Linked DNA regions of Sus scrofa. The protein of the gene in region 1 purifies or fractionates together with the protein of each later gene. This does not show direct contact. Links are inferred from orthologs where the notes say so. Each region holds a gene or a part of one and is shown in the gene's direction. Other genes may lie near its edges.

What was found.
Region 2: the proteins of MED21 (region 1) and POLR2M purify together in Homo sapiens (affinity purification with mass spectrometry; 3 studies listed by BioGRID and IntAct, with this or other methods). This does not show direct contact. The link is inferred for Sus scrofa from reciprocal best matches to the Homo sapiens genes MED21 and POLR2M.

Annotation. Positions count from the first base shown.
Region 1 is NC_010447.5:46,729,765-46,733,387, reverse strand, and holds the end of MED21 (mediator of RNA polymerase II transcription subunit 21), read left to right. Parts: intron 1-833; coding exon 834-948; intron 949-1,499; coding exon 1,500-1,600; intron 1,601-2,504; coding exon 2,505-2,681; 3' UTR 2,682-2,979; downstream 2,980-3,623. UniProt on the Homo sapiens protein: Component of the Mediator complex, a coactivator involved in the regulated transcription of nearly all RNA polymerase II-dependent genes.
Region 2 is NC_010443.5:114,260,253-114,263,902, reverse strand, and holds part of POLR2M (protein GRINL1A), read left to right. Parts: intron 1-2,743; coding exon 2,744-2,948; intron 2,949-3,650.

The DNA of each region.
Region 1 (3,623 bases):
AAATACGGTTTCAGTAAGGGTTTGTTATTCTTGACCTTTAGAACTTTTAGAGCACTAGAAGTTTATAGCTTGAGTCCTGGAGAAAAAAATTTTGTTTTGTTGTTTTGGTCTTTTTTATTTAGGGCTGTACCAGCAGCATACAGAAGTTCCCGGGCTAGGGGTCAAATTGGAGCTGTAGCTGCCGGCTTATACCATAGCACAGCCACAGCCACTCTAGGTCTGAGTTGCATCTGCCGCCTGCACCACAGCTCGTGGCAACACTGGATCCTTAACCCACTGAGTGAGGTCAGGGGTTGAACCTGCATACTCATGGATACTAGTCAGGTTCATTACTGCTGAGCCACAATAAGAACTCCCAAGAAAAACATTTTGGAATACTTAAGGTGTGGTCTTTCTCCCACCATTTCTTTATAGTTGTAATTACTCTGGTTTCAGAAAAGGAATCATATGCCTTGGAGTCAAATTTTAAAATTTACCCTGGGGTAAATTTTAGATATTTGCCTGTCAGATTTGCTTTTTTCTACCACTGTTGCGCTAAAAGTCTTAACTTGTGCTTGCAATCAGTATTGGCATATATTTCTGTTATCATTCTGTTATCTCGGGAAGAAAAATAATTATTTTGTGTTTCTCTTTAACTGTTGCAACTAAATAAATGCCAAAGGAAGTTTCTTTGCATGATTAAAATATTTCGTTGTTAGTAACTGGCTTAATCCAGGATTTATCATATTTTATTCTCTTGCTCAGTGATCATTATAGAAACATCATCAATGCCAATAAAATCCTGAAAGCTGATAAATCCTTTCTAATTTTGCCACATTTCTTTTGGCCTGTAGCTTGCAGATCAGTTTTGTAATGCCATTGGAGTGTTGCAGCAGTGTGGTCCTCCTGCCTCTTTCAGTAATATTCAGACAACCATTAACAAAGATCAGCCAGCTAATCCTACAGAAGGTAAATAGATTTTTTTTTTTTTTTGGCTTCTTTTAATTTGACTCTCCCTCATTGCCTTTAATCCCATAAAATTAGATTTATTGAAAAATTCATCTTATTCACGGCTTTCTAAAAATGTTATTGTTAGAGAATGTTACTACAAGTTTGTCATAAAAGAAATAAATTTTTGTTAGTTTATATAACACCTCGTAGTTCTTTTTATGTTAAATAATGGATTTTTTACTCCTTTAGAGGAGAATTATATGAATTTAGCTGAATTTTACTTCAGGGACCTTAATAAGAAAGGCATCTCATAAATTCCTTTATTCAAATGATCATCAAATTGTCCTGATACATAATGTACATTATGCTTGATTCCTAACTTGAGTTAATGTTAAAGCTGATTCTCAAACATGTAATAGGATTAATGTGTTAAAATTACACCTTAATCATTAGAAGCCTAGGACAGAAAAAGTTAAGAAGTTTTTTTGTTTCATTAACTTAAAATTTGATTGCTGTTTCTATAAACTTGAGGTTCTCAAATACCCTAAATGAGTACAATCTTTCTCTAGAATATGCCCAGCTATTTGCAGCGCTGATTGCACGAACGGCAAAAGACATTGATGTTTTGATAGATTCCTTACCCAGTGAAGAATCTACAGCTGCTTTACAGGTAAAAATCTCTTTTTCTGGAGTTCCCCGTTGTGGCTCAGAAGTAGTGAACCTAACTAGTATCCATGAGGATTCGGGTTCAGTCCTTAGCCTAACTCAGTGGGTTAAGGATCTGGCATTGTGGTGAGCTGTGTGTTGGTCGCAGATTCGGCTTGGATCCTGTGTTGCTGTGGCTGTGGTGTAGGCTGGAAGCTGCAGCTCTGATTTGACTACTAGCCTGGGAGCTTCCATATGGTTCAGATGCATTTGAATTAAAGGAGATAGCTTTAGTACCCTTTTTCCTTTTTTAAAGAAATTTTTTTTTTTTTTTAATTTTTGGCTGTGCCTATGCCATGTAAAAGTTCCCAGGCCAGGGATTAAACCTGTTCCACAGCAGTGACCTGGCCTGCTACAGTGAGATCTGTATCCCACTGTGCCACAAGAGAACCCCTTTAATTCCTTTTATTATAATATTAAAAGGTACTCTCAATTTTAAAATGGGAATTTTATTGGAAACTACTGTAGTCTATTAAAGACTGCACTGAATATGTATAGTTGTCCAATTTTGAGTTATGAGGAAACTTCCCATTTTCCTCAGTTTGATTCTTTTCCTTGGAAAGAGTGAGAGGAAGGTAGCATTCCGGACGTGGAATAGAGCATAGTGTCTAAAAGCAGTGTGGAAAGGAGTCTCCTATAGCAATCTAGAGAGCTCTCATTGAAAAGTCATCTTTTAAATAGTTCATACAGGGAAAATTCTCAAGTTATATCTGATCTGAGGATTTATGCCACTGAAAAATCTATCACAGTGGTTGCACAGTCATCCAGATTTAGAAGTAGGTACTTCCACTGCAGTTTATTTCCTTAGAAGGAAATAATCTCCAAGTTTTTCATTTGTCAAAAGATTCTTAAATTTATGTCTTATAAAGGCTGCCAGCTTGTATAAGCTAGAAGAAGAAAATCATGAAGCTGCTACATGTCTGGAGGATGTTGTTTATCGAGGGGATATGCTTCTGGAAAAGATACAGAGTGCCCTTGCTGATATTGCGCAGTCACAGCTGAAGACAAGAAGTGGTACCCACAGCCAGTCTCTTCCAGACTCATAGCACCAGTGTACATATCATGTGGCCAAGAAGAGAACTATTTCAGTGCCGTTAAGAATTCTACATCAGATTTAGATGTAAGCCTTATCGATAGTTAGAGAAACATTAAGCACTATGACACGTTATCTTTTTAGCTATTTTTAATAGTCTTCTATTTTCATTTTTAATAAATAAGCTTGTAAAATTGTGATTGAACCAGCTTTAAACTGTCATTATGCTATTATTTTGTATTTTGAGTGAAATTATTGAGGCAGATATTGCACTTACAGTCAGAATATAATTAAACAGATGTACTATAGAATTCTATTGTGACATAATTTGTCTTTATTTTTGTCCTGTTTCTACAGCCTGTACAAGTGAAAACATCCCCCAAGCTAGAGAAGAAGATGGTAAATGCAGAAATGGTGGATATTTGAATTTAGGTTGATATCCTTCTGCCTCTTTAAAAGTGACATTGTAGAGTTCTGGTGCAGTGGATCGGGGATCTAGTGTTGTCACTGCAGTGGCTTGTGTCACTGCTGTGGCAAGGGTTCAGTCCCTGGCCCTGGAACTTCTGCATGCCACGGGCACAGCCAAAAAGAAAAAAATAAAATAAAGGTGACATTGTATAAATTTGGAGCTGGAGCAAGGAATGGTTCTGAAAACCACATTGCTTTTTAAGAAGCAGAGAGTGTGGCCAGATGAAAGATTAAGTCACTTTTGTGGAAGCTTTTTCTTCTTTTTCTTTCTTTCTTTTTTTTTTTTTTTTTTTTTGGTCTTTTTGCCATTTCTTGGGCTGCTCCTGCGGCATATGGAGGTTCCCAGGCTAGGGGTCTAATCGGAGATGTAGCTGCCAGCCTATGCTGGAGCCACAGCAACTCAGGATCCGAGCCGCGTCTGCAGCCTACATCACAGTTCAGGGCAATGCCGGATCGTTAACCCGCTGAGCGAGGGTAGGGATCGAAC
Region 2 (3,650 bases), on another chromosome or scaffold:
GCTTGTACTTAAGAATGAGCTTATTGTGGAAATAGTGAAACTAGCCTGGCTGAAGTGGAGGATTCATGTTGAAAATGCTTTAGGTTTTTTAGCCAAATAATTGAAAGGTTTTCAAAAGCAGATGGAGTATTAAATTTCAGGATCCTTAGGGAATATTTCACATTAAACACAGAATTAGAGAATTCATTATGATTTTTTCCAAACCATTTTCTGGCATATAGCTTCCCTTTTGATTAGACTATAAGCTAAGGGGAGAACAACTGCAGGAGCTGATGGGCCTTCTCAGTAAAAACTATTCGTGTGCTCATTGCATGTAAGCTGCGGGTGCTGTGGCTGCATAAGAGTAAAGATTCTGCTCCTCATTTAGCATCTAGATAAGGATGCTAGGCTTTCACACTTAGAAGAACATTAAACTGTATAATTCTAAGGGGAAAGGAGCTGAGAAGGGATTAAAAAAACTGGAAATAGATTTGGGCAGGAGGGGCAAATTAACCCTGCTTCTAAATTCCTTGTCTTTTTTTTTTTTTTTTTTTTAGGGCTGCACCTGCAGCATATGAAAGTTCCTCAGGCTAGGGGTCAAATCTGAGCTGCAGCTACCAGCAACAGCCACGTCAGATCTAAGCCAAGTTTGCAACCTACACTGCAGCTCACGGCAACGCCAGTTCCTTAACCCACTGAGTGAGGCCAGGGATCGAACCTGAGTCCTCATGGATACTAGTTGGGTTCTCAATCCGCTGAGCTGCAATGGAAGCTCCTAAGTTCCTTGTCAGAGTTTGGTTTCTGAGATCTCCGGAAAAACAAAAGCTCTTTGAAGAGAAAGGCATATTGTTTACTTATATGCAAACAGCATGCAAATTAGAGCAGCAACAATATCAAGTCAAGGAGTAGATGTATAAGAATGTAACACAGATACACAGTCCAGTCACTACTGCCTTTCCTTTTAAAACTGAAACCCTATAGGTAAAAATACCTAAAACCAATTTTAATTGTTATAGAGACTTTAAAGTTTAATCTTCTAAAGGATTACTTTTTTTTTTTTTTAAAGTAAACTTTGATTAAATAATTGCTCATCTTGTGTGTGGTAAAGTATGTTTCCTCACTTTTAGGGAGACATAAAATGAGAAGCATCATCTAGTCAATACATACAACAGAGAATACACTGGTCCTGGTTCTGTATTATGGTCATTTAGCTGGAAGTGGAGGAGGGTAAGAGAATATCACTGAGGGCTCTCAGGTGATATTTACAAGGGAGACAGACAGAGGTGCAGTTATCAGAAAAGGCTGGGCCTTGATGAGTCAGCTCAGATGGAGGTTGGAAGGTGAGATGAGGGTGTCCTTTGGCTCCTTTCCTGCTCTTCCTTTGGCCTTCTACATGTTCTTCTGGATGCTAGAGGCTGCCCCTCATCTGCTGCTAGCCCAGGTCAGATTTGCATAGCCAGTTACCTGTGAAACCTGACCCTGTTGGGGTTGTTTTGTGGCACCTTAGGTTTATCACCTATGAAGGAGAACTCATTTCTTCCCGTAATGCTTTTTCCCATAGCCCCTCCGTCAGTAGTGCCACCACTTCTTTCTTTCCCTCCTTTCCTCATCTGCTGTCCATGAGGACCTCACTGTATATTTCCTTGACCTTCATCTCTAATGGTTTTTTTTTTTTTTTTTTTTTTGTCTTTTGTCTTTTTAGGGCTGCATCCTTGGCAGGAGGTTCCCAGGCTAGGGCTTCAATCGGAACTGTAACTGCCAGCCTATGCCAGAGCCACAGCAATGCCAGATCCGAGCCATGTCTGTGACCTACACCACAGCTCATGGCAATGCCAGATCCTTAACCCACTGAGCAATGCCAGGGATCAAACCTGAGTGCTCATGGATACTAGTCAGTTTCGTTAACCACTGAGCCATGATGGGAACTCCATCTCTAATCATTCTTATGTCCATTCTCTCTCCTGTCAAAGTGAAGGTTCTCATCCCTCTCTCAGGCCATAGCTGGTGTCTGTCTTGATCTTGTCTAACTCTACCAGTCCGTCCTCTCCACTCCTGCCCAAATGCAGTTTGTAGAAGGTCAGCCTGAATGTGTTACACAGACTAGAAGTGTGCATTGTGGGCTGGCCCTGGCCGAATCTGGCCACTTTTCTTCCTCTCCACCTCGTGTGCTTCCTGTGCTGTAGCCTCTTCACTCACTTCCTGCTGGGACGCCCTTCCCTTTGTTTACATGCTGAGTACTTACTATTCGCACCCCTCAAATCGCACTCTTTAGAAGGTCTTCTGGCAGCCTCCCTGTCTCCTATTACAACTGGCCATTTCCTTCTTTTTTTACTGGTGCACTATGTGCAGGCCTCTGTCCTGGTACCTGTGATATTACACTGCACTGGAACTGTTTACAAGTGTCTTTCCCTCCTGGACAGTAAGTGCCTTTGTACATGTTACTGAATGAAAAAATGAACAGTATTCAGTTATAAGCTTTGAAGAAAGACAGGAAAGGCAAAGAGTCTATCTATCTATACCTGTTACCTGTTAGAGCAGTGAATTAGCAAATTACTCTCCCCAAAGATGCCAATTTAAATATTTCTCTCTTTTGAGGTAAATATGTCAAAGGAAAGTTATCTGTACAGGTAAATAGTGGTAAATGCTTACTATTACCTTTGTAGAAAAATTCACTGCTAAGGTGAAAGACCACTTTGTGCATGTGAGTGTGTATCTATAAAAAGAAAATAGTCTGGTGGTTTAACCTAAGTGTCCCCTCCTTCAGATTACCTTCACAACAGCATGATTCAGTAAGTCATTGTCAGGGGAGAGGGTCCCCTATATCCTCAGAAGAGAGGCGGCGCCTGGATAGGAAGCATCTGGATGACATCACGGCAGCTCGGCTTCTGCCACTACACCACATGCCCACACAGCTGCTCTCCATAGAAGAGTCGTTGGCACTTCAGAAACAGCAGAAACAGAGTTATGAGGTATTTAGAGTATTATTTATTTGCATGTTGGATGCTGCTTCCATAAGTCAGAGTTTACTCCAGGTGGTTCAAGGAAAATGGGATTTAGTAGAAGGGTCAGGTGCTAGCCTTGGTCAGCTTATGCCATTAGTTGCCAGATGTGCACTCCAGCTTGCAGCCTTGAGGTTGCTGGAACTGCAGAGAATAGCTGGAGATGATCACAGCTACCTGCACCATCAAAGTGCTATTTGCCAGGAAGCGTGGGAAGACTGCTGCAAAATATCACATCTCTGAAAGCCCAGACCCTCAGGTAGCAGTAGCATGGCTTCTAGATCTTCCACCTTGAAAAACTCCAGCAAGAACCTGTCAGTGGTGCAGTTTAGCCCAGAACCCCACTGAGAGAATCAGGGAAGTGTGATTGCCAGGCTTCTGTCTCCTGCAGTACAGGGAGAGCATAAGATAGCTGGGGAAATAGTGTGTATTGCCAACACACAAGTGGACACTGCACTTAAAAAGCCCATCTGTGGGCCCTTGTGACAAGAGAAGAATCTTCTTTTGGTCACTTCATTTTGAATAGCACTTTGTTCAAAGATCTGTGTGTTCTGCATAGAACTTTAAATATGTATGTTGAGAGTTTGTGTACAAAATAATGGGATGGGAGAAAGTAAGTGTGAGGAGCACAGGGAGAAAAGAAAGCAGCCAATATACTTAGTGATAATTTGA